Linked DNA regions of Pelodiscus sinensis. The protein of the gene in region 2 binds, or shares a complex with, the protein of the main gene of each other region. Links are inferred from orthologs where the notes say so. Each region holds a gene or a part of one and is shown on either strand. Other genes may lie near its edges.

The links. The genes of interacting proteins can lie anywhere in the genome.
Region 1: the proteins of GRK1 (region 2) and RCVRN are in contact, whole or in part, in an NMR structure (PDB 2I94), measured with the Bos taurus proteins. The link is inferred for Pelodiscus sinensis from reciprocal best matches to the Homo sapiens genes GRK1 and RCVRN. Residues at the interface, in NP_776598.1 of Bos taurus: Phe3, Gly4, Leu6, Glu7, Val9, Val10, Ala11, Asn12, Ser13, Ala14, Phe15, Ile16; in NP_776590.1 of Bos taurus: Lys22, Trp31, Ser34, Phe35, Glu38, Cys39, Phe49, Ile52, Tyr53, Lys55, Phe56, Phe57, Tyr86, Leu90, Thr93, Ser94, Phe188, Glu189.

The regions. Positions count from the first base shown.
Region 1 is NW_027465849.1:3,549,601-3,553,344, reverse strand, and holds the start of RCVRN (recoverin), read right to left. Parts: upstream 2,300-3,744; 5' UTR 2,016-2,299; coding exon 1,635-2,015; intron 1-1,634. UniProt on the Homo sapiens protein: Acts as a calcium sensor and regulates phototransduction of cone and rod photoreceptor cells. Modulates light sensitivity of cone photoreceptor in dark and dim conditions.
Region 2 is NC_134734.1:9,963,333-9,967,076, forward strand, and holds the start of GRK1 (rhodopsin kinase GRK1), read left to right. Parts: upstream 1-1,249; 5' UTR 1,250-1,459; coding exon 1,460-2,158; intron 2,159-3,744. UniProt on the Homo sapiens protein: Retina-specific kinase involved in the signal turnoff via phosphorylation of rhodopsin (RHO), the G protein- coupled receptor that initiates the phototransduction cascade.

The DNA.
Region 1 (3,744 bases), on a different chromosome or scaffold from region 2:
GGGGTGGGAGGGCCTGGTGGTTAGAGAGCGAGGGAGATGCCACTGTGGGAGGGGAGTTGGGTCTAGTGACCGGCTGTGAGCGCCGTGGCATTTTTAGCCCCTTCTACGAATTTCCACGTGGTTTTTATCGTGATCTCTCTCACCTTTTATCGTGATCACTGCTCCCTCCCCCCCAAGCCTTCCTCCTCCTCCCCCCCCCAGCCTTCCTCCTCCTTTTGGCCATGGCAAATCCAGCTTAAGGCTCGTTATTTTCTGCCGCGGTGTGGGGCAGCGCCCCAGATACCCTGCCTGACCTGCAGGAGCGGCTCTGTGGGGCCGGGTGAGGCCATACTGATAAAATTAACGAGGGGGGGGCTGGCAGCCAAGAGGCTCAGCCCGGATAAATTAGCATAACAGGATTTGGCGCCCAGGGGAGGGGGAGAGGCTGCAATCCCATCAGGGATGTATTTGCGACCAACGCAAGCCTTGATCGGGGCTAATCCACTGTCATGCTGCCGGGTACAATCCTGCCACCTGCCCTAGGGATCAGGCCGCCTCCACGCCCCTCTCTGCCCACTCCACCCGCTCGAGCTGGCCGGTCACAGGCCTGCGCGGCAGGGAGCAGGCGGGATGCCGGGGTAGATGGGCTCGCTGTGATGCTGCATCGGCCTGGCCTCTGTCCACGGGCGGGGGAGCCCAGGCAGGATCGGCGTGCTTGGCATGAGCGGGAACAGGCTGTGACGCTGGCTGAGGGTTGGTGCCCAGAGGACGGGGCTGGGCCGGTCCCCCAGTCGGCAGAACAAGCAGGAACCACAGTTTGGGCTAGGGAGAGACTTTCTGGCTCCGTGGGCACCAGCCAGGAGCCCGGGGGGTGTGGGGGGAGTCCCCTGGCTCCGTTCACTGTGGGGTGGGAATGGCCAAGCATCCCCTTAGGGCACCACAGCAAGGCTCCTCAGGGCACTGCTAGGAAGGAAGCTCGCAGCATGCCTTCTTCCCCCTCCTTTCTGGGCTGAAATCCCTACAAGACATTGCTATAGGAGAGTTCACATTGTTTGCTCCCTCCCCTGCTCCCGGCACTGCTGTGGGGAAGTTCACCCCTCCCTCATGGCACTGCTGTGGGGAAGTTCACCCCTCCCTCAGGGCACTGTTGTGGGGAAGTTCACCCCTCCCTCAGGGCACTACTGTGGGGAAGCTCGCAGCAGCCCCTCAAGACACTGCTGTAGGGAAGCTCACAGCACCCCCTCAGGGCACTGCTGTAGGGAAGCTCGCAGCACCTCCTCAGTGCACTGCTGTAGGGAAGTTCACAGCACCCCCTCAGGGCACTGCTGTGGGAAAGCTTGCAGCACCCCCTCAGGGCACTACTGTGGGGAAGCTCACAGCACCCCCTCAGGGCACTGCTGTAGGGAAGCTCGCAGCACCCCCTCAGGGCACTGCTATAGGGAAACTCGCAGCACCCCCTCAGGGCACTACTGTGGGGAAGCTCACAGCACCCCCTCAGGGCACTACTGTGGGGAAGCTCGCAGCACCCCCTCAGGGCACTGCTGTAGGGAAGCTCGCGGCACCCCCTCAGGGCACTACTGTGGGGAAGCTCACAGCACCCCCTCAGGGCACTGTTGTGAGGAAGCTCGCAGCCCCTCCCCTTGCTCCGCACTCACCGAGATGATCTCCAGCACCTCGCTCTTGCTGATCTCGCCGTTGCGGTCCACGTCGAAGAGGGAGAAGGCCCACTCCAGCTTGAGGTCAGTCTTGCCGGAGGAGGTGAGGTGCAGGGCGATGATGTACTCCCGGAAGTCCAGCGTCCCGTCGTTGTTGGTGTCGAAGCTGCGGAAGACGTGGCGGGCGTAGCCCTTGGGGTCGGAGTTGGGGAAGAAGTTGGCGTAGATCTTCTCGAACTCGGCCTGGCTGATGCGCCCGTCCGGGCACTGCTTCTGGAAGCTCTCGTACCACTTGCACAGCTCGTCCTCCGTGTACTTGGTGTTCAGCTTCAGGTCCTCCAGGATCTCCTTGGACAGGGCCCCGCTCTTACTGTTCCCCATGGCGCCCCGATGCTGCGCCCCGAGCCCGGCCTAGCCCCCGCGTCCCAGCACCCGCGCCCCGATCCCCGGCCTAGCACCCCCGCCCCTCCGCTCCCAGCCTGGCTCTAGCAGGTGGGCTCCTCGGCTCCCACTGGCATCTCCCAGGCCCTGGTGCTGCCGGCTCATATAGACTCCCTGGGAAGGGGGGGGTCTCCGCCAGGCCCCCCCCGCCCCTCCCGCGGGGCTGGCTCCGTGACGTTGGTCACAAGCTCCTTAGCGCTATTAACGGGAGATTGGCAGCCCTGAGCCACTTGGAGTATTGTCGGCCGCTGCCCTTGGGCGCCCGCCGCCCCGCCTTCTGCCGCCTCCCGCAGCTGCCTGCCCCCCCGGCCTCCTCCAGACTAGCTACCCCATCCCCCCGAATCCCCATCCCCCGCAAACCCCTCTATCCCCTGTCCCTGATGAACCCCTCCATCCCCATCCCCCCAAACCCTCCATCCCCCATGAACCCCTCTATCGCCCATCCCCCATTCCCCCACAAACCCTTCTATACCCCATCCCCCTGAATCCTCCATCCCCTGTCTCTCATGAACCCCTCTATCCCCCATCCCCCATGAACCTCTCCATCCCCCATAACCCCCTTACAGAACCCTCCATCCCCGTCCCCCATGAACCCCTCCACCCCCCGCAAATCCCTCTATCCCCATCCCCCATAACCCCCCCTGCAGACCCTTCTATCCCACATCCCCCATGAACCCCTCTATCGCCCATCCCCCATTCCCCCACAAACCCTTCTATACCCCATCCCCCTGAATCCTCCATCCCCTGTCTCTCATGAACCCCTCTATCCCCCATCCCCCATGAACCTCTCCATCCCCCATAACCCCCCTACAGAACCCTCCATCCCCCATCCCCCATGAACCCCTCCACCCCCCGCAAATCCCTCTATCCCCATCCCCCATAACCCCTCCTGCAGACCCTTCTATCCCACATCCCACATGAACCCCTCTATTCCCCCATCCCCCCACATACCCTTCTATTCCCCATTCCCCCAAACCCGCCATCCCCCGTCTCTCACAAACCCCTCTATCCCCCATGAACCCCCCCACCCCGCAAAACTCTTCCCCTGGAAACCCCTCTATCCCCCATCCCCCATGAACCTCTCCATCCCCATAACCCCCCCCGCAGAACCCTCTATCCCCCATCCCTCGCAAACCCCTCTATCCCCCATCCCCCATGAACCTCTCCATCCCCTTAACCCCCCCCCGCAGAACCCTCTATCCCCCGTCCCCCACGAACCCCTCCATCCCCCATCCCTCGCAATCCCCTCTATTTCCCCCGTTCCCCCACAAACCCTTCTATCCTCCATCCCCCTAAAGCCTCCATCCCCCATCTCTCATGAACCCCTCTATCCCCCATCCCCCATGAACCCCTCCATCCCCCATAACCCCCCCACAGAACCCTCTATCCCCCGTCCCTCGCAAACCCCTCTATCCCACATCCCCCATGAACTCCTCCATCCCCCCCAAACTCCTCAATCCTCCATTCCCCACAAACCCCTCTATCCACTCAGCCACCTACCCCCAGCCACCCCATTCCCCCATGAACGATCTATCTGCCTTATCCATCTATCTCAGCCACCCCCTCTATCTATCTACTCCCACCCATCCCCTTTATCTATCTATCCCCACCCGCCATCTATCTATCTAAGGGAATGGCTACACTACAAAGTTAATTTGAACTAACAGTC
Region 2 (3,744 bases):
AGAGTGGCCACCAGGGCAAGCTGGGAAGGGCTAGCCTCCCACTAGTTCGAATTAAGGGGCTACACACCCTTTTATTCGAACTAGTAAGTTCGAACTAGGCTTAGTCCTCGTAAAATGAGGTTTATCTAGTTCAAACTAAGCGCTCCGCTAGTTTGAATTAAGTTCGAACTAGCGGAGCGCTAGTGTAGCGCCTATCAAAGTTAATTCGAACTAACGTCCGTTAGTTCGAATTAACTTTGTAGTGTAGACATACCCCAAGAGTAGGTGCACACACAGCCCCAGAAAACACATGTGTGCTCAGGCTCACCTGCACAAGCAAAACAAATATATTGATCTGGAAATATACATACACTTTCCCTAAACACAAATGCTTGTGCAAACACAAGCGTGCCCACAGTCACTCTTGCCTGCATGTGCCCATGCCTGCATAATCTTTCATTTGGGATGTGAAAGGTTAACTGGTAGGGGCTGGAGCAGCTCCTTGCCTGCTGTGGGCAGGGTCTGCTCTGGTCATCCATAGCAGCCCTGTCCACAGTAGGCCGGAGCATCCCACAGGCGGGGGCTGCTCTCGTGTCCAGAGCAGCCTCTCTCCATAGGGAGTCTGGGTGCCCTACAGGCAGGGACCCCCTCTCCCGTGTCCCCTTTAACCAGTTAACCAATGAAATGGGATTTTATATCTGTATCTTGCATGTGCACACAGACACGCCGGCATACACAAAACACAAAATGCAGGCATGCATGCACACATGCAGTCTTGCATGAACATGTGCTCAATCGTGAACTCATGAAACTGCATGGACACCACTGTACACATACTCTGGTTGACTTTCCCTTGCCACCTCCACATCCCCCAGCTAATCTCTGCACCAGGATGATGTGGATGGTGAAAACACCATGCCCTAGTGCAAACAGGGACTGAAGGGGTGGACCTCTGCACTAGTGCAAGACGTATAGCCTGTCTAGTTGAGTGTATGTGTGGGAGGCTGTGGAGCCCTTGTGCACAGCTGGGATTGGGGCCGGGGGAAGAGGAGGGTTTATGTGTCTGGCTGACCATGCCAGGTCCACTTAGGCCCAGATGTGTGGGGAGCCTTGGGCTATACAGATAGGAGATGGATCAGGCTGGCCAGATGTATGTGGGAGGGGTATTCAGATGTCTGGTGGGGCTGGGTGCAGCAGAGGCTTCCTTCCCTGTTTCATCCACATGTTTGTGAGACCTGCAGCCATTGGGGAAGGCTGTCCGAGTTCCATGTCCAGATATGCTTGTCTCAGGACACCATCCAGATATGTCGGGGGTCCCTGGGACCAGCTGAGGCCAGCTCTCCAGATGCATTCTCCTTCTGGGAGGCCATACAGATACCCTCCTTCTGGGAGGCCACACATAGGCTTTGTCCTCCCACCTCCAGCACCCGGCTCCTCATCTCCTCTCCCTTCTCTTTTCTGCAGGTGACTCAGCACCGCCATGGACATTGGCGGCTTGGAGACGGTGGTGGCCAACTCAGCCTATGTGTCAGCCCGGGGCAGCGTGGATGCCAGTGCGGCCTCCACTTTGCGGGACAAGAAGATGCGGGCAAAACTGAAGCTGCCCCACATCACGCAGTGTGAACACCTGAAGGACCAGATGGACCTGAACTTCCAGAGCATCTGCCTCCGGCAGCCCATTGGCAAGCGGCTCTTCCAACAGTTCCTGGAGGACCAGGAGGCATTCAAGGCGGCTGGCGGACTCTGGAAGAGCATGGAGGAGTATGCAGCGTCCGAGGAGAATGAGAGGACCCAGAAGGCCCAGAAGACTGTCAACCAATTCTTTGACTCAGCCTCCAAGACCTTCTGCTCCTTCCTGGAGGAGAAAGTCGTCATGAGGGTCAAGGAAGATGCCAAGCATGGGCGAGCAGACCTCTTCAAAGAGACAGAACAGCACCTGTTGAAGCACCTGGAGGACCAGGCCTTGGCCAAGTACAAGGACAGCTTGTTCTTTGCCCGCTTCCTGCAGTTCAAGTGGCTGGAGGGGCAGAGTGTGACGGAGGAGTGGTTCCTGGATTTCCGGGTGCTGGGCAAAGGGGGCTTTGGTGAGGTCTGCGCCTGCCAGATGAGGGCCACCGGCAAGATGTACGCCAACAAGAAACTCAACAAGAAGCGGCTCAAAAAACGCAATGGATATGAGGCAAGAGCTTGGGGGGGGGCAGGCCCCAAGGCTAGGAGCCAGGACATCTGGGTTCCATCCCCAGCTCTGGAAGAGGAGTGGGGGGCTGATGGATTAGTTCAGGGGAGGGTTAGGGAACCAAGACTCCTGGGTTCTCCCAGCTCTGGGAGGGGAGCTGGCTCTTCTAAGTGCATGGCCTTGGGTCCAGTTGGCTGGGGCAGAGCCGTGTGGGCTGCTGTGTACAGGATCCTGGGTGCCAGGGTGTCCTAGGTGGCGTGGGGCACAGGTGTGGCCTCGAGGGCTCTCTGATGTGCCTGCAGCTGGGTCGCTCCATGGGCTAGGGGTTAGTCTGGAGGGACACAGCCCCTCTCCCCTCCACAGAGATGTGGGGCTATGGTGACCCGCCTTGTTTCATTACTGGGTGCTCAGGAGGCTGGTGCAGATCCCAACTTCCTTTGCATTGCTCCCCACTTCTATGGAGAAGGGACAGCGGGGCACATGGATGGGGGGACTGAGGAGGGATGGAGGGTTTGGTATAAAGATTTTTACTGCCTTCTGATTGGTTAGTGCAAACATCTCCCACAGTTTGATTGGCTATTGAGGAGCCATCCCTGGGTCTCCTCATTGGTGCTGGGGCCCAACTCAGCTGGGAGAGACAGGAGCCAGTCTTGGGACAAGGGAGCTAGATTGAGAGCCTGGTCTTTTGGGTTCTCTCCCTGTCTCTGGGAGGAAATGAGGGTTAGAGCTTAGCACAGGGGGACTGGGAGCTGGGACTGTCTCTTGCGGTGTTTTCACACCATGGCATTGGCGTGTCTGCTGCTTTCACAACCCAACACTTTCAGTGGTTTGATATTTGCTAAAGGCAGTATCTGCTAATTGTGCCATGTGGCCCTGCCCAGAGAGAAGGAGCCTGATTTCCTGGAGCAAGGAAGTGGGGTAGACAGTGTCCTGCAGAGGTGTGTGTGTGTAATTTAGGGGTTTCCCAACTACATATATTACCTGGATGTTTCTGTAGTCATCTGGGAGAAGTGTGGGACGTCATCGGTAGGTTTCAGAATTAACATAATCAATTGCAATGCATGAGGCAACTGCCTTCTCTAACTGCGAGGGTCTCAGGCAGCTGAAGCTAACCCCAAACAGCCGAGGTCCCCAAACAGCTAACCCCAAACAGCCAAGTCTGAGGCGGGGATCATAGGATTCCGTCTGTAATTCTCCATAACAGTGACATCAGAATTGTTCTGTTACCAATGAGGAAGGAACGACCGGAAGCCATCTGGGGGGCAGTAGGTGGGGAGCAGTTCAGACACAGCTTTACTTTGAGATTTAGGGTTCAGCTTGAAAAGGCAGGGGCAGGGGATACCAGCCTGAGCCCTGCCATTGGAGTTTGGGGTGCAGGGCTGAGGTGAGGTATGTGGGAGGTTTGGGGGTTCGGTCTGAGTTTGAGAGGGAAGACTGAGGGGCTGAGCTGAGTTTGGAAATAGCCATTCGAGGGGGGTGGCTGTAAGATGCAGGGCAAGGTTGAGGGGTTCAGACTGTGTGAGTGTGTGCATGCGAATGATTGCTTGTGCGTGGGGGGGGGTGAGAAAGAGAGAGCTCCCCACTTAGCA